Anolis sagrei: one gene and its partners. The protein of the gene in region 3 binds, or shares a complex with, the protein of the main gene of each other region. Links are inferred from orthologs where the notes say so. Each region holds a gene or a part of one and is shown on either strand. Other genes may lie near its edges.

Region 1 (8,477 bases), on a different chromosome or scaffold from region 3:
CTAAAATGACAGCATGCAGGCAGCTTTGGTGAAGGCCAATCTTTTTGTTAACTGTGGAAACTGGGCAGATGCAAGATACTATTCAAAAAACAGAACTCAGATTAGATCACAAAAATCTGAATGGTCGTTTTTCACCTCTGATCCCAAAGAGTGCCCCATTGTCGCACGTCTTTTACTAGAGACTGAAGGAAAAACCAGAAGAGACCAAAAATAGCTGAGGATGTGAAAAAGGTGTGTGGGGGGGGGGGGGGGAGAACAAGTTGATTTTTAAGATAAGGAAAAAATGATCGCAATCTACAGACCAGGTGATGATTAGGTTTCCTTAGGCCAGACTGAAAAGTTGGGGAGAAGAAAGGAAAAATAAGAAAAGGAAGATAATGTCTCTAGATAATCTTGTACCTGGTAAGCAGAAGAAAAAGGATGTTGGGGTGAGGGAGAGAAGAGACAAAAGGAAAGGACACCCAAACTCCTTGGCCTGTTATGATGTGGACCAATGTTATTTTTTTATCACCAGTATATTGAAGTAATAGTGACTGAACTGCCAAACCTTCAAACTGCTGAGTCTCTTAAAGTAGAAGAAAACAGACGAAAAAAGGCCAGACAAGCCCTAGAGGAGGTTCCCTTTGCTTATAAGGATGTGGACCTAACATATATATAGGATGGTGAATGGTTGCTCCTCAAACAACTGGGTGTCATAAGGGGAAGAGATGGATGGTTCCTCTTTTGCCTATAATAATGTGGACCACTGTTATATACAGATACACAAAAGACTCAAATATTTGTGTGTGTGAAAGAATTGTGAGTTGTTGGCCCTCAAATTAATGGGTATTTCAAGTAGAAGAAATGAGGAAAAACCAGACAAGCCCTAGAGCAGGCTCCTCTCAGCCTGTATGGATGTGGGGCTAATATCTATATCCTGGAGTAATACTGAGTAATCACCCTTCAAATTACTGATTCTTGTAAGTAGAAGAAATGAGCATAAGCCAGAAAAGTCCCAGAGCAGGCTCTTCTCAGCCTATATGGATGTGGGGCCAATATCTATATCTTTATACTGAAGTAATGGTGAGTAGCCTCCCTTCAAAACACTGAATCTTTTAAGTAGAAGAAATGAGCAAAAGCCAGAAAAGCCCAGAGCAGGCTCCCCTCTGCCTATATGGACATGGGGCTAATATCTATATCTTTATACTGAAGTAATGGTGAGTAGTCTAGCATAAGCCAGAAAAATCCCAAAGCAGGCTTTTCTCAGCCTATATAGACATGAGGCGAATATCTTTATCTTTATACTGAAGTAATGGTGAGTAGTCTGGCATATGCCAGAAAAGTCCCAGAGCAGTCTCCCCTCAGCCTATATGGATGTGGGGCTAATATCTATACCTTTATCCTGGAGTAATGGCGAGTAGTCGCCCCTCAAACTATTGAATCTTTTAAGTAGAAGAAATGAGCAAAACCAGAAAAGTCCCAGAGCAGGCTCCCCTCAGCCTATATGGATGAGGGGCTAATATCTATATCTCTATACTGAAATAATGGTGAGTAGTCACCCTTCAAACTACTGAATCTTTTAAGTAGAAATGAGCAAAAGCCAGAAAAGCCCCAGAGCAGGCTCTTCTCAGCCTATAAGGACGTGGGGCTAATATCTATATCTTTATACTAAAGTAATGGTGAGTAGTCACCCTTCAAATTACTAAATCTTTTAAGTAGAAGAAATGAGTAAAAGCCAGAAAAGCCCAGAGCAGGCTCCCCTAAGCCTATATAGACGTGGGGCTAATATTTAAATACTGAAGTAATGGTGAGCAGTCTGGCATAAGCCAGAAAAGTCCCAGAGCAGGCTCCCCTCAGCCTATAAGGACGTGGGGCTAATATCTATATCTTTATACTAAAGTAATGGTGAGTAGTCACCCTTCAAACTACTGAATCTTTTAAGTAGAAATGAGCAAAAGCCAGAAAAGTCCTAGAGCACGCTCTTCTCAGCCTATATAGACGTGGGGCTAATATCTATATCTTTATCCTGGAGTAATGGTGAGTAGTCACCCCTCAAACAACTGAATCTTTTAAGTAGAAGAAATGATCAAAAGCCAGAAAAGCCCCGGAGCAGGCTCTTCTCAACCTATAAGGACGTAGGGCTAATATCTATATCTTTATAATGAAGTAATGGTGAGTAGTTCCCTCTTAAACTACTGAATCTTTTAAGTAGAAATGAGCAAAAGCCAGAGAAGCCCCAGAGCAGGCTCTTCTTGGCCTATAAGGATGTGGGGCTAATATCTATATCTTTATCCTAAAGTTATGGTGAGTGGTTGGGTCTAATTCTTCTGTCTTTATACTGATGAGTGCTGGCTCCTCAAACCAGTGGGTCTCTTAAATAGAAGAAAAAGAGATGGGAGGTGGGGAAATACAGGAAGTAAAGGAGACTACAGCAATGTTTAATATTTGTAATATGAATTTTCCTCAAAAGTGGGGAGAAAAAGAGAGGCTTCAAAGGAGAGTGGTCTGGACCTCAAAAGCAGAAGGAAAAGGGGGACTGGGAGGGGCAGAGAAAAGGCAAAGGCCGCCCAGCTCTCCCCCAATGTTATAATTTATATCTAGTGCTATACTATAAGCATGGGAAGGGGTGGGCTCTCAAAGTAGGCGAGAAGAGATGGGCCAATCTAGAGAAAAGGCCATAGCGAGTGGTCTCTCAAACGAGCAGGCCTATGTGGCCTTCCTTCTCCTCTCTTTCTCGCCACGCGACCCCTCCCCTCGCTGCCCCCGCCCAAGTTGTGACGCCACAATCCCTCGCGCGCTCCGATCAAAACCCACCCGGCCTCCTCCTCCTCCTTCACCCCCTCCCTCCCTCCCTCCCTTCCTTCCCGCGAAGCGTCTCGCCCTCGCGCACGCCGGCCCCTTTCGCTTGCCGTACATGCGCGCGCCACACACTCACTCACAGTCATACACTCACTCTCTTTTTCCCTCCCTTGACTAATTCCCCTCCTCTCCCTCCTTCCACCGCCTTTTAATCATGACGAGACATTTAAAGATTTCTTTTAAAGGACTCAAAAGAGGGGGAAAGGGGGAAGGGAAGCCGCACAACGCGAGGCGAGGAGGACACTCACCGGTTCCACCGTCGCCATCTTAGATCGCTCTGCTCGCCCAAGCGCGGAGGGGAGGGGGGAAACGAGCCAGGTTCGAAGCTGATTGGCTGCCCGCGGGTCACGTGGAGGCGGCGGCGGTTTGGGCGGCTCGGCGCGTGCGCGGGGGGAGGGGGGAGAGCGGCGCCTTCTGGGAAGTGTAGTCCCCGGTGTATTTTTTTTCTCTCCTCGCCTTCCCAGCCTCTTCAGGTCACGTGGGAGAGGCAGGCGTGGGCCTGTCACGCTGAGGCGGCGAGGAAGGAAAGGAAAGGAGGAGGCCGGGCTTTCGTCACTCAGGGGTGTGTCTGTCAGCATGTGTGATGCAAGGCCTGCCCCTCACCGTCGTCGTCCCCCGAGAGACCACCTCGCCCCCAAAGACAGGCCTCAACTGCACCAGGCCTGGGCACACTTGGGCCCTCCCTCCAGGTGTTTTGGACTTCAACTCCCACAATTCCTAACAGCCTAACACACTACATCAAGGACTCGGCCCACTTCATTGAAAAAATCAGCAATCTCAAGCTAAATACAAATGACAAACTGATCAGCTTCGATGTGGTGTCTCTATTTACCATGGTCCCAGTTGCAGACACCATGGCACTCATCAACCAGAGGTTCCCAGAAGACATCACGGCGCTGTTTCACCATTGCCTCACCACCAGATATTTTCAGTGGGACAATGAATTCTACGAACAGAAAGATGGAGTAGCTATGGGGAGCCCTCTCAGCCCAGTTATAGCTAACTTCTACATGGAACGCTTTGAAAAACAAGCTCTTGAAACAGCAACTAAAAAGCCCACTATATGGTTCAGATATGTGGATGACACTTTCACCATTTGGAGCCATGGAGAAGAAGAACTCAACAGGTTCCTGGAACATCTTAACAGCATCCACCCTAACATCCAGTTCACTATGGAAAAAGAAAAGGAAGGAGGACTGACTTTTCTAGATGTCCTAGTCATCCGTAAACCAGATCAACAATTGGGTCACACCGTTTACAGAAAACCCACACACACAGATAGATATCTACATAAAAACTCCAACTATCACCCAAGTCAAAAAAGAAGCACCATTAAAGCCTTGGCAGACTGTGCAAAAAGAATCTGCGAACCCCACCTCCTCCAAGATGAACTGAACCACCTCAACTGGGCTCTACAGGCCAATGGATATTCCACCTCAGACATCAGAAGAGCTGCAAGACCAAGAACAAGCCATGAGAGTCAAGATGAAGATCCACCCAGAGGAAAAGTGTTCCTGCCATACATCAAGGGAACCACTGACCGCATAGGGAAGCTGATGAGGAAACACAACATACAAACAATCTACAAACCCACCAAGAAAATCCAACAAATGCTATGTTCAGCAAAGGACAAGAGGGATCCTCTCACCTCTGCAGGAGTGTACCATATACCATGCAGCTGTGGACAAGTCTACATAGGGACCACCAAACGCAGCGCCCAGACACGCATCAAGGAACATGAAAGGCACTGCAGACTACTTCAACCAGAGAAGTCAGCCATAGCAGAGCACCTGATGAACCAGCCTGGACACAGCATATTATTTGAGAACACAGAAATGCTGGACCACTCCAACAACCACCATGTCAGACTACACAGAGAAGCCATTGAAATCCACAAGCATGTGGACAATTTCAACAGAAAGGAGGAGACCATGAAAATGAACAAAATCTGGCGACCAGTATTAAAAAACTTGAAAATTGCAACAGCAAAACAGCAGAGAGGAAACAACCAGGCACATCTTAACACCTCTCAACAGAACATTTTCCCAGGCGCAGCCAGGCTTTCAAATGCTAATGAAGGTGGTCAGCTGAAACATTCACACCTAGCTTCAACAGAGAGCTCTTTGCCCCACCCCAGCCATTCCACAGATATATAAACCCATTGTCCTAATTCCAACAGACCTCACTACCTCTGAGGATGCTTGCCATAGATGCAGGCGAAACGTCAGGAGAAATGCCTCTAGAACATGGCCCGATAGCCTGAAAAAACCTACAAGAACCTAGCCGGTAGGCTGTTAGGAATTGTGGGAGTTGAAGTCCAAAACACCTGGAGGGAGGGCCCAAGTGTGCCCAGGCAATATTTTAGAATAGTGCCTTCAGCCCAGTTAGGCCTCATTCATACTCCTTTCAAACAAACTACAGGAAAGGAACAGACTGGTTCAAGATTGGGATACATAAGATTTAAACAGATTTAAAGCACTAGGTGAAAGAAGAAAGCGCAAAAGCTGGGTTGCAGCTAAACATAAAAAAAACCCAAGATTATGGCAACAAGAATGATTGACAACTGGAAAATAGAGGGAGAAATTGTGGAGGCCGTGACAGACTTTGTATTTCTAGGCACAAAGATTACTGCAGATGCAGACTATGGCCAGGAAATCAGAAGACGCTTACTTCTTGGGAGGAGAGCAATGTCCAATCTCGATAAAATAGTAAAGAGTAGAGACATCACACTGACAACAAATATCTCCCTAGTCAAAGCCATGGTATTCCCTGTAGTCACCTACAGATGTGAGAGCTGGACCTTAGGGAAGGCTGAGCGAAGGAAGATAGATGCTTTTGAACTGTGGTGTTGGAGGAAAGTTCTGAGAGTGCCTTGGACTGCGAGAAGATCCAACCAGTCCATCCTCCAGGAAATAAAGCCCAACTGCTTATTGGATGGAAGGATACTAGAGACAAAGTTGAAGTACTTTGGCACATCATGAGGAGACAGCAAAGCCCAGAGAAGACAATTATGCTGGGGAAAGTGGAAGGCAAAAGGAAGAGGGGCCGACCAAGGGCAAGATGGATGGATGGCATCCTTGAAGTGACTGGACTGACCTTGAAGGAGCTGGGGGTGGTGACAGCCGACAGGCAGCTCTGGCGTGGGCTGGTCCATAAGGTCAGGAAGAGTAGGAAGCGACTGAATGAATAAACAACAAAACAGGAAAGGAGATTCCACCTGAACATTAGGAAGAACTTCCTGACTGTGAGAGCTGTTCAGCAGTGGAACTCTCTACCTTGGAGTGTGGTGGAGGCTTTTAAGCTGAGGCTGGATGGCCATCTGCTGAGACTGCTTTGAATGCGATTTTCCTACTTCTTGGCATGGCGTTGGACTGGATGGCCCTTGAGGTCTCTTCCAACTCGATTCTATGATTCTATGAATTCCATTCACACCATATATCCTATTTATCCATGACATTAACTCTGCAGAAAATGCAAGGCTTTTAAATGCGAATCAAGTAGATTAATTGCAACATTAACACTTTAAACAGACAAGAGTTCTTTCTCCCAAATTGGACCTTCCACAGATATGTAAACATCACTTGCCTAGTTTTCCACAGGCCTCAAAACCTCTGAGGATGCCTGCCATAGATGTGGCTGAAACATCAGTAGAGAATGCTTCTGGAACATGGCCATACAGCCTGGAAAACTCATAGCAACCCTTTGCAGAAAATACTTCAGATGCAGTCCACGAAAAGGAAACCCAGCCTGTTCCTCAAAGCTTGCAAATACTGATTTATTGTGTTTGATTCTACCTATATATACAAGGTTAAGATGCCCTGAAGAGTAGATCAGACCCACTCAATCAACAGCTGAACGGTACAAGAAAAATTATATAGTGAGGGATGCAGCAAAATCCAAAAGTACAGGCAACAAACAAGATAGGTTCTGTAGGTTTGTTCTTAAGTTCGTATGCAAGTTGGAACAGGTTCATTTTTCAGTATAACTCCAATTATATTTATATTCCTTTCCTGTATTCCTTTGGAGCACTTGGTGGCGCAGCAGGTTAAATCGCTGAGCTGTTGAACTTGCTGACCGAAAGTTTAGCGGTTTGAATCCAGGGGGCAGGGTGAGATTCTGCTGTTAGTCCCAGCTTCTGCCAACCTAGTAGTTCGAAAACATGCAAACGTGAGTAGACCAATAGGTACTGCTCCAGCGGCAAGGTAACAGCGCTTGGTAACGGCACTCCGTACAGGCATGCCGGCCACATGACCTTGGAGGCATCTACGGACAACGCTGGCTCTTTGACTCAAAAATTGAGTTGAGCAGTCACACCCCAGAGTTGGACATTACTAGACATAATGTCAAGGGGAAGTCTTTACCTTTATCTGATTTGTTGTAGATCCACTATTTTCAGCCTCATGCAAATCTACCATTTCTCAAAATATATGATCCTGTGTTATTCTTTTGCATTTCTGTCTGAATAGCTTAACTTTGGATAATATTCTGACTTCGGTAATTTAGCAATTAAATTTTGCAGCAGTATCATCTGGGTTACTAGCCCTTGTGACCCTCTAGCTACTTGTCTTTCCCTCAGTTCCAGGGCTCAATCCCAACTGGTGGTGGGCGAGACATGGTGGAGCTTCCCCCTTTTTCTGGCTGCCCCCTCTTCACTCTGTGGCCTCATATATATATATATATAGAGAGAGAGAGAGAGAGAGAGAGTATAAAGGTAAAGGCTTCCCCTTCACATTAAGTCTAATCATGTCCGACTTGGCAGCGGGATGGTGGTGGTGCTCATCTCCTTTTCTAAGCTGAAGAGCCGGCGCTGTCCATAGATGTCTCCAAGGTCATGTGGCCAGCATGAGTGCATGGAGTGCCATTTCCTTCTCGCCGGAGTGATACCTATTGATAGACTCACATTTGCATATTTTCAAACTGCTAGGATGGTGGAAATTGGGGCTAACAGTGGGAACTCACCCCACTACCCAGATTCGAATTGCCAACCTTTTGGTTAGCAAGTTCAGCACTCAGCTGCTTAACCCACTGTGCCACAGGGGGCTCAATAGATATATCTACCTATCATCTATCTATCTAAAAGCTTTGGCTAGCATAGGGAATGGTTAACATCCTGTGGCATTTGTTTTGCTGTCTGTGCTCCTGTTCAGATTTCACCTCACTTTCCATCCCTGTGATAATTGTATTTTAAAAAATTTGGCTTGTTGTAGAAACAAGGAGTGGTGATAAAGCTTCAGTGGAGACACCTTTCCCCCATGATAACTCTTTCAGGAGTGAATTTCCCTTCCTAGAAGTAGATTTCTCTCATTTCCTGTTGTCTTGCATCAAATATTTTTATGCTTTTGGATTGGCTCAATAAAGGTGACCCTAAATTACATGTCAACATTTATATAAATCCAATTACTTAACGGAGTCTATTGAAGTTCACACGAGCAACTGGATTTGGGACGAAGTTGGGAATCATGAGACGCCAAAAAAGGAATGGACTGCAGCTCACAGCATTCTGCAGTATTGTCAATGCTGGCTATAGCCGCTAGAAGCTGTACTCCTACATGTTTCCCTCCTTGATTTCAAGAAATATGTGCTGTTTTTATCAAAAAGCTTAAAGGCCTGATCATTGTGTTTATTGTCAGCATCTGTTA
Region 2 (7,770 bases), on a different chromosome or scaffold from region 3:
AGGACAAAAATCTGGTCTGTGAGCCTCCTTTCTCTTTATTTTATTTTATTTTATTTTATTTTATTTTATTTTATTTCTACTCCTTTTGCATTGGCTGCCACTCCTTCCCTTTTACTGACCACTGCATATGTTCTGTATCAGAAACTAGAACTGATGTGGTCTATCCAATGCCATTTTCCAAATCAGCACCCAAAACTGAATCTAAAGTTGATCAAAAACTGATTCATAACCCTTTTGGTATTGATGTTGAAGAGTGGTCCCTAGTCAAAGTAGTCCCTGGTTTAAAAAAAAGGTTTGGGAACCACTGATCTAAGGCCAGAAATTAGACAAGTTATACCTGGGAAGTGTAGTTCACAGATTTTTTCCAAGGTCTGCTCTCATCCCTAGCAATAAAAATAGAAAAAGTAAACAATCTGCTTCTTTTTCATGAAAGTGATACACAAAATCGGCTATGGAAAGCAGATTGTCCATTCTGGATGTGTCTGGATTGTAGAATGAATACAGGTTGACATCACTTTAACTGCCGTGGCTCAATCATGGGAATTTGGCAGAGAAAACAAGAGACATTGTAAAACTACATTTCCCATGATTCAATTGAATTAAACTATGGCTGTTAAAGTAGAGTTGAACCGCATTAATTCTATAGTGTATATACTATAATGTTGAATAAAAGGGTCAGGCCTGCTAGAATTAGCACTTTTTGCTGGCTTTTCAGTTGACCTTTAAGAGCAGTTCTTTCAACAGTGATGTGATTTGGAAGAATTGGCAAATAAGCTTCTCATTATGCAGAGATAAACGTTATAACTCACCATCTACTCACTAGAACCCGAAATTCAGCAATTTAATCCATAGATCTTCCACTAGTTCAATAAAGTGGATGAATGTTTCTCCACCAACACAATGAAATTCGAAATTCAGTTTTGTTTCAGATCTGTAACCTCCAGGAGAGTACATTGTGATCTTTTGCACATGTTATAACCATCTTTGCCATTGGCCCTAATTGGCATTCTCGCTGGAGTCTTCTGCAGGAAAGAAAAAAAAGCTGAGGATTCTGGGAATGCCTTGAAAGGGAATGTCCCGTCATGATCCCTTTGATGTTCTTTCCATATGAAAATCAATCAGCATGAAGCCATAAGCAAAGCAGATGGCAAGGCTTCAGAATCAAGGCTTCCATCCTAAAATGCATTTGTGCCAGTCATGGGGTTACAGCCCCGGTAACATGATAAATAAGTGTTTGGAGGAGGAAAGAGATGCTTTACTGCAAACTCTATGAACAAAATTATGAATGTTGGCATCCGGTGTGGGTATTCTAACCTTAAACATTATAGCATTGATTCTGCCCTTTACATTTCTGGGGGAGAAAGGACTAAAAATGCGGCTTCAGTATCTGCACTATTTTTGTCATCTAATTACTGCATTTTATTTAAGATTAATGCGATACATATTTCATTTTTAGGTGTACTAGCAGATCATGTTCCCGAAGAAACATATATGGGCTAAAAGTATTTGCCTGCATTACATATACCATGGAAATGAGTAAGATTGCATAAAAACTGTATCAAAATCAAAGGAATATTTAATAATAATAAAACTTTATTTATATACCACTCTATCTCCCCTGGGGGACTTAGGGCAGTTTCCAAATTGTAAAAACACAAATCCATACAGAGTAAGCAAAAAACAAACAAACAAAAACAGACCAACACATACGCATAAAACAGTCAAACAACACATGTACAATAAAACCAATCAACCTTATTCTTCATACTAGGATTAACTATTAGGGCCAAGCAATCTTTTTGTGGACTGAAACCAAACTAGAAATGGATGTATCTGGAATTTTTCCACTCAGTCCTCAAGAGAGTGATCTCTGGAACAAGTCCAATTTGGGATAGTTTGATATTCTTATTTGGCATGTAGAATAATAGAATTATAGAATCATAGAGTTGGAAGAGACCTTGTGTGCCATCTAGTCCAACCCCCTGCCAAGGAGCAGGAAAATTGCATTCAAAGCACCCCGACAGATGGCCATCCAACCTCTCAGCTCAGGTCCTCCCTCTTTAAAGATTTCAGAAGGGATCCCATCAGGTCTGCTGGCTTTGTTATTTTTTGTTGGTTGATGACATTGCTGACTTCTTCCAAACTAGGCAGTGCTGCAAACTCATCCCTGATTTGTGGGAGAACCTCTTTGGCCACATTCGAGCTGCGGTTCTGGAGGCTTTGGTAGTGTTCTTTCCAACGTAGTGCAATTGATTTTTGGTCCTTCAGGAGTTTGGTTCCATCTGATGAGCGTAGAGGCTGTATGCCATGGTTTCTTGGTCCATAGATGACCTTTGTGGCTGTGAAAAATCCCTGAGCATCACGGGTATCTGCCAGGTGTTGGATTTCTTCAGCCTTCTTTGTCCATGAGATGTTCTTAAGTTCTCTTGTCCTTCTTTGGATCTTAGTTTTTGCACTGGTGTAGATCTTTTTCTTATGGGTCTCCATGGCTTTGACTAGGCGGATCTTTGTTGCCAGTGTGATGTCTCTACTCTTTACTATTTTATTGAGGTTGGACCTTGCTCTCCTCCCAAGAAGTAAGGGTCTTCTGATTTCCTGGCCACAGTAATCTTTGCACCTAGAAATACAAAGTCTGTCACAGCCTCCACATTTTCTCCCTCTATTTTCCAGTTGTCAATCATTCTTGTTGCCATAATCTTGTTTTTTTTTTTTTAATGTTTAGCTGCAACCCAGCTTTTGTGCTGGGCTACACTGACCATGCAGACTGTGGCCAGGAAATCAGAAGACGCTTACTTCTTGGGAGGAGAGCAATGTCCAGTCTCGATAAAATAGTAAAGAGTAGAGACATCAGACTGGCAACAAAGATCCGCCTAGTCAAAGCCATGGTATTCCCTGTAGTCACCTACGGATGTGAGAGCTGGACCTTAGGGAAGGCTGAGCGAAGGAAGATAGGATGCTTTTGAACTGTGGTGCTGAAGGAAAGTTCTGAGAGTGCCTTGGACTGCGAGAAGATCCAACCAGTCCATCCTCCAGGAAATAAAGCCCGACTGCTCATTGGAGGGAAGGATACTAGGGACAAAGTTGAAGTACTTTGGCCACATCATGAGTGTCATGCGTTAGCATGAGTAGCATGCAGATTGACTCTAGCCCAGTTAACTGTGTGTGTGATGAATTGGCTCTTAAAAGAAAAACACATGAGTAGAAAAGAAAAATATTGTAGTATTGGCAGCATACAAAACAAAATAGCAGGATTGCTGTTTCCACAAAAGTAACATGAAACAATATCTTCTGAGAGATATCATTACTCAGCTGTGATAAGCAGGAATCCTTGTCCTCTTCCCATGGCTGTGTCTTCGCAGGACATCTGCAGCATAGTCCCTGGCTTACACAAGGCAGAATGGCACAGAGGCATAGATGCACAATGGCAAAGAAGCTAAACACACAGTAGCTATCTTTATACACATGAAAATAATACTCTCAATTAACTCTTCAATTAACTCAAACAGCTGTAGCACAAACAGCCTTGAACTTTACAGCAACTTAAAGTTATAGCACAAACAACATTGATCCTTACAACAACTTAGATAAAGTACGTTACAACCTCTTAGTAGCAACAATGAGGAGACAGCAAAGCCTAGAGAAGACAATTATGCTGGGGAAAGTGGAAGGCAAAAGGAAGAGGGGCCGACCAAGGGCAAGATGGATGGATGGCATCCTTGAAGTGACTGGACTGACCTTGAAGGAGCTGGGGGTGGTGACGGCCGACAGGGAGCTCTGGCGTGGACTGGTCCGTGAGGTCACGAAGAGTCGGAGATGACTGAACGAATGAACAACAACAAGTGAGACTCTACTGTATCATCTGCATATCTAAGGTTGCTAATGTTTCGTCCAGCAATGTTAACTCCAGCCTTGGATTCATCAAGTCCCGCACGTCGCATGATGTCTTCTGCATACAAGCAGAATAGGTTGGGTGAGGGCAGGGCCGTAGCCAGAAAAAAATTTCGGGGAGGGTTGACAATTTCGGGGGAGGGGGGGTTGAAAATTTCGGGGAGGGTTGAAAATTTTGGCAGGGGGGAGGGGTGAAACCTGCCTCCTAGCTCACGCTGAAGCAAAGAGTACAGCAGGGGGCAGAGCAACCTTCAATAGCCTGCAGCTCCACCCCTGTCAACCAACTCCACCAAATCTGGCCTTCTTAATGAGAGCATTCAACACATAAACCCCCAACTTGGTTGCTTCACTACATCAGGTATTGCTGCAAGTAATGACAGTGTGAGTAAATTGTCAATATTTGCTTGAGATAGTGCTTACAATTCTGGAGGGACTCTTAATTTTTTGCATCTCATAGACTTAGCATGGGGATTTGGTTAACCAATTAAAATTCATGAGTAAATCAGGTTTTTTAAAAAAATCTGAAACATTTCGGGGGGGGATTGAACCCCTAAAACCACCCCCTCGCTACAGGCCTGGGTGAGGGTACCCTGCCTTGCTGTACTGGGCTACACTGACCATATAGTCCACTTTCAAATTGCATGATATGCCAGTGTTGATACTCCCAGGTTCCTATTGACAGGACAACTTTTCCCCTCCTAGAACCAGTGCAGCTGAACCCAAGGGATGGACAGCAACAGAGAAGCACTTTCTGGCCAGGAAGGAAGCCTTGTGAACTACACCTCCCAGCGTGCCTTGCGAGCGCCTTTTCCTGTGAAGGAGGAGGGGGAGGAAGAGAAGGAGGAGGAAAGGAAGGAAAAAAAAAAGCCCAAGGCGAGGAGGGAGTGTGGGTGGGGAAAGCGACGCCTCTGTTCTCCTTCCTTCCTTCCTTCTTCCTCTCTCTCTCTCCTTCTCTTGAGGCTCAGGCGGCATCTCCCCCCTCGCCATAACCGAGAAGGCAGCGAGAGAGCGGGGTCTGGGGTCTGGGCGCCTGTCTCTGGAAGGGAGAAGGGAGCGATGCGGAGGGGAGGAAAATGGCAGAGCTGCAGATGTTACTAGAGGAGGAAATCCCTTCTGGGAAGCGGGCTTTGCTCGAGAGCTACCAGAACCTCACCAGGGTCGCCGACTACTGCGAAAACAACTACATCCAGGTAAGAAGGGAGAGCCAAGGAGGGAGGGAGGGAGGCAGGCTCGCCTTGGAAGGGGCCAAGACCCACGCCTGCCTTCATTTCCTTCCTTCCTTCTTGCTCGCCTCCATGGCAGGAGGAGGAAGAAGGGGGGAAGGAGCCACTCGCCTTACAGGAAGTGGGCAAGGGCTCTTGCAAAGGGAGGAAGGCCAGCCAGGCCTTCCTCCCTTTGCAAGAGCCCTTGCCCACTTCCAATGGGTGCATTGTGACCCCACTTTGAGTTGTCAGGATTCAATGCTAGGAGTTGTAGTGGACAGACTTTTATGGAACTACCACTCTCAGGTTTCCATAGCCTTGAGCCTCAACAACCACAGTGGTGTCAAACTGTGTTTGCTGGACAGTGTTTTTGTTTGTTTGGTTGCATGAGGAAGAATTTGCAGACTGTGAGATCCGTTCAGCAGTGGAACTCTCTGCCCCGGAGTGTGGTGGAGGCTCCTTCTTTGGAAGCTTTTAAGCAGAGGCTGGATGGCCATCTGTCAGAGGTGATTTGAATGCAATATTCCTGCTTCTTGGCAGAATGGAGTTGGACTGGATGGCCCATGAGGTCTCTTCCAACTCTTTGATTCTATGATTCTATGCTGCAAGTCGCTTCTGGTGTTAGACAATCAGCCGTCTACAAAGACGTCACCCAAGGGATGCGTTTTTTAAATACATTACAGTTGTATCCTCAGTTTGCTTCTGATACGATAAATAAATGGACAGTGTAAATCAGGCATGGGCACACTTCAGCCCTCCAGGTGTCTTGGACTTCAGTTCCCAGGAATCCTAGTGTTGGACTGCAATGCCCACCGGCTGTTAGGAATTGTGGGAGTTGAAGTTCAAAACACCTGGAGGGCCAAAGTTTGCCCATAGAATCATAGAATCAAAGAGTTGGAAGAGACCTCATGGGCCATCCAGTCCAACCCCATTCTGCCAAGAAGCAGGAATATTGCGTTCAAATCACCCCTGACAGATGGCCCTCCAGCCTCTGTTTAAAAGCTTCCAAAGAAGGAGCCTCCACCACACTCCGGGGCAGAGAGTTCCACTGCTGAATGGCTCTCACAGTCAGAAAGTTCTTCCTCGTGTTCAGATGGAATCTCCTCTCTTGTAATTTGAAGCCATTGTTCCGTGTCCTAGTCTCCAAGGAAGCAGAAAACAAGCTTGCTCCGTCCTCCCTGTGGCTTCCTCTCACATATTTATACATGTCTATCATATCTCCTCTCAGCCTTCTCTTCTTCAGGTTAAACATGCTTGTTCTCCAGACTCTTGATCATTTTAGTCGCTCTCCTCTGGACACATTCCAGCTTGTCAATATCTCTCTTGAATTGTCGTGCCCAGAATTGGACACAATATTCCATGCCTGGTATAGATGCACCCTAAGGTGGACCAGACCAGGGGTGCAGCCTACATGGTAGAAGTACTGGGGTTCCACACCACTTGAACTGCTATGGCTCAACGCTATGGAATTGTGTGTGTTGTCATCTGGTGAGGCTATAGAATTCTTTGGCAGGGAAGACTAAGGACCTTGTAAATCTACAATTCATAGAATTCAATAGCACTGAGCCATGGCAGTTTTATTATGCTTTTAAAGTAATTACGTTGTTTTAATTTACTTACTTTTGGTTAGTAATAATAATGATAATGATAATCTTTATTTATCCCAACACCATCTCCCAAAACGGAACGAGGGCAGTTTACAAGGCACTTTTTTTTGTCGTGTCAGGAGTGACTTGAGAAACAAGGCACTACAAATGTAGTATATTATATAAAAGGTACATGGGTATAAAAACAATATAGCACAACAATTATAATAACAACCACTATTAACACATAAAATAAAATATAACACAGTTTAAAATGCAGAACATTTGTAGTTAAAACTAGCAGCCTTCAAATCACAATTACAGTGCCAAAGTGTCAACCTCATATGGGCCCATTTCAGCCTACTCAAGGCCAAAAGCCTGCTTAAAAATCAATGTTTTTAGGCTGGATCGGAAAGAGTCAAGGGTGGGGGCTAACCTAATATCTTTTGAGAGGGTATTCCAGAGCCAGGGAGCCACTACTGAGAAGGTCCTCTCTCTCATCCCCACCAACCATGCTTGAGACGGAGTCCCCGGTGGCGCAGTGGGTTAAACCCCTGTGCCGGAAGGACTGAAGACCTGCAGGTCACAGGTTCGAATCTGGAGAGAGGCGGATGAGCTCCCTCTATCAGCTCCAGCTCCTCATGCGGGGACATGAGAGAAGCCTCCCACAAGGATGACAAAAACATCAAATCATCCAGGCATCCCCTGGGCAACGTCCTTGCAGACGGCCAATTCTCTCACACCAGAAGCAACTTGCAGTTTCTCAAGTCGCTCCTGACATGACAAAGAAAATGCTTGAGACAGTAGTGGAACCGAGAAAAGGGCCTCCCTTGCTGATCTCAAAGCCCACGCTGGTTCACAGAAAGAGATGAAGGACCCAAAGCATATGTGGCTTTGTAGGTAATAACTTGCATCTTGAAATGAGCCCAGAAAATTGTCGGAATCCAGAGGAGCTGCTTGGGTATGTTCCCTATAGCTAGCTCCAATTAGTAAGCTTATAAGTTTATATTGATGTTGTTTCATTCATTGGTTCAATTTGGTTTTGTTTTCATTATGGCATTGAATGCTTGCCATTTTTTTGTTTGGAAACCGCC
Region 3 (7,845 bases):
CTTCTCAGATGTTCTTGATTACGATGGGGAATAAACTTAAATGTATTAGGTTTTGAAATATGTGACTGTTTTGGAATTATATATTGACGAGTATGGTGCTGTAAGTTGCCTTCTAATCATTACTGTAAAAGATGAGTTGTAAATAAATTACTTTTTTAAAAAGTATATTAGTTTAAAGTAGATTTTTTTAACAACATGCCTTATTTATCTTCATTGATCCCAGTCTATTATTTAGTATTTGGCTGAAAGTTTAGTAAATTTTACTGGTTTTTTCCAGAATCATTCTGAGATTTCTTGGGCCTTTAGACCAAGGATTTGGTAGGCATATGAAGGGTGTTCATTAAAGATTTCCCCTGACCTGCTTATATTTATCACAGGACTTTGAAACTGCACATGTATAATGATTTAAGTTTCTATAGGTTACGTGCCAATTTACAACGCAGAACTGATAACGGTCTTTTTTTTACAGGTGCTGAAGTGGTGTGATGTTTGATAATGGATCCAGTGGAATACAGAGCAGTCATCAAGTTCTTTTATTTGAAATGTCGCACACCAAAGGAGACATTCGATGAGATGAAAGAGGTTTATGGTGATGATTCCCCATCATATGATCTAGTAAAGAACTGCATTGTCAATTCCAGTGTGGTCAGACTTCGGTGCAAACAGCTCCAATTCCAGAGCAACCCCACTGTGCTATTGATGAACACACTATCCAGCAAGTTAAGGTCACCATTTTGGAAAATTGCCTCATAACCATTCTCCACCTAGCCCAAAATGTCAACATTAGTATGGGATCCATGGAAAAAATAATCCAAGACAATCTTCACATTTATAAGATATGTGCTTGCTGGGTTCCCCGGCTGCTCACACCTTTCCAGAAGCAGAAATGAGTCGAATGCTTTCAGGTTCTTTTGACAACGTGCCATGGAAACCAGGAGGACTTTTTAGCAGATTGATTACACAGGATGAAAGCTTGATCCATTACTATGATCCTGAGACTAAAGTCCAGTCAATGCAATGGAAGCATCATGACTCACCGCCTCCAAAGAAGGCATGTGCCCAACTTTCAGCAAGCAAGGTCATGCTCACAGTATTTTGGGACCAGCATGGAGTAGTACTGATGCATTTCGTAGCAAAGGGTACCATGATCACTGAGGCATACTATGCTTCATTGCTGCGGAAATTGCAGGAGGCCATCAAAACCAAGAGACTGCTACAGAAATTGCAGGAGGCCATCAAAACCAAGAGATGTGGCATGTCACCAAAGGCGTCCACTTTCTGCAAGACAATGCACTTATTATTTATTTATTTATTTCAGTTACTTCTACCCCGCCCTTCTCACCCCAAATGGAAGAAGCATGCTCCTGTGGCTTTGAAATTCTACCACATTCACTAGACCTCACACCATCGGATTTCCACCTCTTTCCAACAATGAATTTATTTTTGAAGGGCAAGCATTTTGCAGATGACGAGACTCTTATTTCCAAAGTCACAATGTGGCTTTTGGAGCAATCTGTCAACTTCTACAAGCGAGGTGTTTACAGTTGCTTAACAAGATGGGAGACACCTATGAGAAAAAACTAATAACTGTGCCAAGTTTTATTGCTCTCAGTCCACAGGAAGTGGCTCAGGGGAAATCTTTAATGAACGCCCCTCGTACAATAATATGCAAGTGCAAAAATGTACACTTTCAGTCGTTTGGAGAAAAATGATGAACATGTTCATAGGCTTAAAGAGCAATCTATTATACATTGGGTAGTCCCTCATGCCAACCGGTTCAAGGCATTTGCATCATAACAGGGCACTTCTTTCCTTTTGTTTGCAACAGAAAATAGATCTCAAGATTGTCTTCATATTAGCATACAATTAGCATTTTTTCCTGCAACATTCCTCCACTTTATAGTGGAACTTGGGTAGCCAGGTGAAATAAGGGACAGAGCTTGCTGTTATGTGCCTTCACATCATTTCTGACTGATGAAGACCCACAGGGTTTTCTGGATAAGTAGATTTTCATGGTTAAACTGGGATTCGAACCTTATTCTCCAGGGTTGTAATCCAACACTCAAACCACAATGACACACTGGCCCTTTAATGGTTATGTAAGACAATGCTACTCAAAGCAGTGTTGGGCTCTGACTCATTGGCTGCTGATCTCTGGACAGTTTCCAGGAAAGAAAAGCAGTTGTACCCAATAGACAAAAATGTAGTGCCAGTCCCTGGTATATTTGGGGAAATAATTGCCAGACTCTCTCCTAGCGGACAGCCTGAAAAGAGAGATGGACGCCTGATGTTGCTTGTCACCACGGCACCTTCTGCTGAAATTCTGTCCTGTACATCCATTGAAGGGAAGGGGCTGCTGTACGGATCAAAAGAGCCTTTGATCTATTTTGATTGCCTTTTAGATTTAGGTGTGAACTGTTTTGATATTGTAAGTAGTCTGATTTTATTTTAATGTTTCAACATGTTTTTAAATGTATTCTCTTAAATTCTGAGCTGCTTAGGGTCCCAATTTTGGAGACAAAGGGGGTGCTGATACTGATGTATTGGTTGGGACGGGATGCACGGGCTGCAAAATGGTGTGAACCTAGTAGAGAATGCCCTGGTTAAGAAGGAAAAGATGGGAATTCCTTGGCAGGCAAGTCAAATAGGCAGACCTCTTCCTTTCTTTTGACTCTTCTTTCTCTTCCCTACCCCCCCTCCCTCCTTTTCACTTTTTCTCTCTCCCTTTCATTTTCTTCCTTTCTCACCCTTCCATTTCTTTTCTCTTTCCCTCTCCCATCCTTCCTCTCTCCTGATCTTTTCCTTTCTTCCCTTCTTCCTCTTTGAGACCCCTTCTACACACATGATAAAATCCACAATGAACTGGAATATATGGCAATATGGACTCAGACAACCCAGTTCAAAGCAGATATTGTGGGTTATCTGCCTTGATATTCTGGGTTATATGGCTGTGTGGAAGGGCCTTCACTTCCCCCCTTTCGTTCTTTTCTCGCTTCCCTTCTTCCTTCCTCTCTCGCTTTCCTCCTTTCATTCTTTCTCTCTTCCCTTTTCCCCTTTCTTCTGTCCTTTCCCCCTTTGGTTTTTTTTTCCTCTTCACTTCTTCCTTTCTCTCCAGGCCCTTCCACACAGTCCTATAATTCAGAATATCAAGGCAGAAAATCCCACAATATCTACTTTGAACTGGGTTATCTGAGTCCACACTGCCATATATTCCAGTTCAAAGCAGATATTGTGGGATTTTCTGCCTTGATATTCTGGGATATAGGGCTGTGTGGAAGGACCCCCTCTCTCTTCCTTCCTTTAATCTCTCTTCTGTTCTTCTCAGTTCTTTCTTTCCTTTCTCTATTTCATCATTCTGTCCTTTCTCAATTTCTTCTGTCCATTCTTCCCCTTCCTTCCATTCATTCAATATTTCCCTTCCATTTCTTCTCTCCTTCTCCCTTCTGCTCTTTCAGTCTCTTCCCTTCTTTCCTCTCATTTCCTTTCATTCTTTTCCTTTCTTACCATCTTCCTTCCACTCTTGCTTTCCTTCAGTCTTTCTCTCTTCCCTTTTCCCTTCCTTATGTCCTTTCTCTCTCCCCCTTCTTTTTTCTCTTCACTTTTTTCCTTCCTTTCTCTCTTCCATCCTTGTACTGTCTCTCTAAATTCCTTCTGTCTATTCCTCCCCTTCCTTCCTTTATTTCTTCTCTCTTTCCTTAATCTCTCTTCCTTCTGTTCTTTTCCTCTCTTATGTCCCCCCCCCCTTCGTTATTTTTCTCTCTCTTTCCTCCCTTCTGTCCTTTCTATCTCCTTTCGGTTCTTTCTCTTCATTCTTTCCTTTTTCTCGCCCCTTCCTTCCTTCCATCTCCCCTTAAATTCTTTCTCCTTACTTCCTCTCCCCTCTCTACCTTTCTTCTTTCTCTCCCTCCTTTCCTTCTTTCAGTTCTTTCTCCTGATTTCTTTCCTCCCCCCTTTCTCCCTTCCTTCTCCCTCCCTCCCTTCAGTTCTTTCACCACCTTTCCTCCCTTGCTTCTTCTCCCCTTCCTCCCTTCTATCCTCCCTCCAGTTCTTTCTCCTTCATTCTTTCTTTCCTTCCTTCCTCTCCCCTTCCTCCTTTTCTTCTTTCTCTCACTCCCATCCTTCGGTTCTTTCTCTTCATTTCTTTCCTTCCTCTCCTCTTCTTCCCTTTCTTCTTCTCTTTTTTCCTCTCTCCCTTGAGTTCTTTTCTCCTCCCTTCTTTCCTTCTTCACTTTCTTCTTCTTTCTCTCCCTCCCTTCTTTCCTTCTTCACTTTCTTCTTCTTTCTCTCCCTCCCTTCGGTTCTTTCTCCTCACTTCTTTCCTTCGTCCCCGCCTTCTTTATCTCCCTCCCTTTCTTTGGTTCTTTCTCCTCACTTCTTTCCTTTCTTCCCCCCTCTCCCCTTCTTCCCTTTCTTTCTTTCTCTCTCTCCCTCTTCCGTTCTTCCTCCTCACTTCTTTCCTCCCTTTCCCTCTCTCACCCTTCTGCCCTTCCTCTCATTCACTTCCTTCCCTTCTCCCTCCCTCCCTCCTTCCTTCCTTGAGGAGGCTGGGCAGGAGTTTGGGACGGAGGAGGAGGAGCTGGAGTTGGGAAGGAGGAAGGGTGTTTCCTGGCGAGTCTGTTTGGAGTGACTCAGACAGGAAACTCCCAGCTTCGTGCGCGGCGGGCCTGCGAGGCAAGGGAAGTGGCCCGGGCCAAGGAGAGCAGACCCCCTCCGCTTCCTCCTCCTCCTCTTCTTCGGCCCGCGAAGGAGTGGAGCCTGGACCCGCGGAGAGAGAGAGGGAGAGGGAGAGGAAGGCGGGCGCCGGGCCTGGCGAGGAGGCGGCTGCTGGGTGAGAGGACCCTTCTTCTCCCGCTTGGCGCCCGCCTGCTGTTCCGGGCTGGGGCCTGTGAGGACGGGGTTGGGCGCCTGGCTGTGCAGGCGTGGGGTCGGGTCGGAGGCCGGGGAAAAGGGAAGGCTTGCCCAGCTGCGGCCTAAACGGAGGAGGGAGGCCGGGCGGGCGGGCCTTGAGACTCCAACTTCCCTCCAGCGGGCGCCTCAGAGAAAGGAAGGAAGGAGACCCGGGCGTGTCTGCCTGAGGCCACACGGTAGAATTAACGCGGTTTGATACCCCTTCAGCAGCCAGGGCTCAAAGCTAGAGGATTTTCACAAAATCTTTGACCTTCTCTGTCCCAAAGTGCAGGTGCCTCACTAAACTACAGCTCCCAGGACCCCATAGCCTCCAGGCCTGGCAGTTAAAGTGGTGTCAAACTGCATTGATTATAGAATATAGATGCAGCTCAAATCTGGGTGAACCTTAGATGAGTGTAGGACTGTATGTGCCTTGCAAGTAGCCTCTGGATCTGTGGATTTCATGGGGAAATCGAAGTTAGGATTGTTGTGAGTTTTCTGGCCTGTATGGCCATATATTCCAGAAGCACTCTCTCCTGACATTTTGCCCACATCCTCAGAGGTTGTGAAGTCTGTTGGAAACTAGGCAAGTGAAGTTTCTATATCTGTGGAATGTCCAGGGTGGGGGAAAGAACTCTTGTCTGCTTGAGGCAGGTGTGAATGTTGCAGTTGGCCAGTTAGCATTGAATAGCCTTGAGCTCCAAAGCCTGGCTGCTTCCTGCCTGGAGGAATAGCACCTCCCAACAAAGGATTCCCCCAGGCAGGAAGCAGCCAGGCTTTGGAGCTGCAAGGCCATGCAATGCCAGTTAGCATTGAATAGCCTTGAGCTTCAGAGCCTGGCTGCTTCCTGCGTGGGGAAATAACACCTCCCAACAAAGTATTCCCCCATGGAGGAAGCAGGCAGGCTTTGAAGCTGCAAGGCTATTCAATGCTAAGTGGCCAGTTGCAACATTCACACCTGCCTCAAACACAAGTTTTCTTTCTCCCACAGATATATACACCCCCCCCCCCCACTTGATCTGAAAAGATGGGTGACATTGATCTTTGGATAACATGACCTAATGCAGTAAAGGATTTGGGATATGTGCTAGTAACTTCGCAGTATGTTTCTTTTTAGCCACATATAATCGAAAAATTATTATTTAGAAGGAAGATCTAAGTGTACTCAGTAGAACTCATTTCCATAAATATGCATAGGATTGCGACTGAGCTAATTAAAAGGCAGCTAATCAGTTTTAAGCAGTTTGGTGTGGTATGCGGAAGGGAGCCTTTTAAAATTCATTTTCAAGAAATATGTCTATTTCTCATAGACATTTGAGCAGTAGGCATTTTTAAAAATACAGTTTGGTTAAGTGTTGCCATCTTAATACTAAGTAAAGGTAAAGGTTTCCCCTGACATTAAGTCTAGTTGTGTCAGACTCTGAGGGGTGGTGCTCATCTCCATTTCTAAGCCAAAGAGCCGGCGTTGTCCGTAGACACCTCCAAGGCCAGCATGACTGCATGGAGTGCCGTTACTTTCCTTCAGAAGCGATACCTAGTGACCTACTCACATTTGCATGTTTTCAAACTAATAGGTTGGCAGAAGCTGGGGCTAACAGCGGGAGCTCACCCCGCTCCCTGGATTTGAACTGCCAACCTGAAAGTCGGCAAGTTCAGCTGCTCAATGGTTTAACTCACTGCGCCATCAGGGAACACCATCTTAATACTAACACTGGCATAATATTATATTGAAATATTTGATCTGGGCACCATAAATCTCAGGTACACTAAGTATTAATTTAGGATAGAGAGAGCCACACGCTTTAGAAAGTGTGGAATATATACTGTCTCTTAGGACAAACTAATTTAGAACAGAAATAGTCCAGGGCCCAAATGCTTGAAGGATGCGCAGTTTACTGTTTCGACATTGTTTTGGTTTTAAAAGAGGTTTTTGGAGTTGAAAATAAATTGTAATATCTGCCTAAGAAATATAGAGTGGAATTAATTAAATTGTCATTAAACCCTTAAAATTTTTTTACTTATTAACAAATAGGCATTCATACTGGTACTTAAAATCTCTCCCAACCTCAAATCTAATTAAGTTCAATTGAATTAACAAGGCTATGAGAAATAAAAGGAATTGATTGGAACTGAATTTAACAATGTGCACCAAATTTTAGTAACAGACAACAATCATATTTTTTAAACAAATATTCTATGGAGAGCTGGGAAGTTTGGGAAAAGTTGTAGAATTGCAAGTAACCCATGGACCACTCTGCCTAGCTTTGGTATGAAGCAGGCCTGCATAACTTGTGGCCCTTCAGATGTTTGGACCTCAAACTCCCAGAAGCCCTAGCCAGCATGTCCAATGGTCAGGAATTATGGGATCCGAAGTCGAAAATATTTGGAGGGGTGCAGGCTGTGCAAGCCAGTCTAGAGTATTGCAGTTAAGTGATATTAGGATTGGTGTTGCTAAAGTGGAGAGATGTTTCTCTGTATGGCCATATGTTCCAGAATCATTCTCCTGACGTTTCGCCCACATCTGTGGCAGGCATCCTTAGAAGTTGAGAGGTCTGTTGGAAACTAGGCAAGTGAGGTGTATATATCTGTGGAATAATGTCCAGGGTGGGAGAACAACTCTTGTCTGCTTGAGGCAAGCATGAATGTTGCAATTGGCCACCTTGATTAGCATTTAATGGCCTTGTAGCTTCAAAGCCTGGCTGCTTCCTGCCTTTGGGGAATCCTTTTTTGGGAGGTGTTAGCTGGCTCTGATGATTTTTTTTTAGTGTTGCTCTTTATTTACTGTCCTGCTTTTAGAGTTTTTTAAAATAGCTAAATTTTATTCATTTTCATGGTTTACTTCTTTCTGTTGAAATTGTCCACATGCTTGTGGATTTCAGAGTGGCCTCTCTGTGTAGCCTGACTTGGTAGTTGTTAGAGTGGTCCAGCATTTCTGTGTTCTCAAATAATAAGTTGGTT

The links.
Region 1: CYFIP1 (region 3) and EIF4E share a complex: the UniProt entries of both Homo sapiens proteins name them as parts of the CYFIP1-EIF4E-FMR1 complex. The link is inferred for Anolis sagrei from reciprocal best matches to the Homo sapiens genes CYFIP1 and EIF4E.
Region 2: CYFIP1 (region 3) and ABI1 share a complex: the UniProt entries of both Homo sapiens proteins name them as parts of the WAVE2 complex. The link is inferred for Anolis sagrei from reciprocal best matches to the Homo sapiens genes CYFIP1 and ABI1.

The regions. Positions count from the first base shown.
Region 1 is NC_090025.1:26,053,383-26,061,859, forward strand, and holds the start of EIF4E (eukaryotic translation initiation factor 4E), read right to left. Parts: upstream 3,175-8,477; 5' UTR 3,105-3,174; coding exon 3,087-3,104; intron 1-3,086. UniProt on the Homo sapiens protein: Acts in the cytoplasm to initiate and regulate protein synthesis and is required in the nucleus for export of a subset of mRNAs from the nucleus to the cytoplasm which promotes processes such as RNA capping, processing and splicing.
Region 2 is NC_090026.1:110,125,921-110,133,690, reverse strand, and holds the start of ABI1 (abl interactor 1), read left to right. Parts: upstream 1-4,725; 5' UTR 4,726-4,961; coding exon 4,962-5,078; intron 5,079-7,770. UniProt on the Homo sapiens protein: May act in negative regulation of cell growth and transformation by interacting with nonreceptor tyrosine kinases ABL1 and/or ABL2. May play a role in regulation of EGF-induced Erk pathway activation. Involved in cytoskeletal reorganization and EGFR signaling.
Region 3 is NC_090023.1:99,880,962-99,888,806, forward strand, and holds the start of CYFIP1 (cytoplasmic FMR1-interacting protein 1), read left to right. Parts: upstream 1-4,528; 5' UTR 4,529-4,828; intron 4,829-7,845. UniProt on the Homo sapiens protein: Component of the CYFIP1-EIF4E-FMR1 complex which binds to the mRNA cap and mediates translational repression. In the CYFIP1-EIF4E-FMR1 complex this subunit is an adapter between EIF4E and FMR1.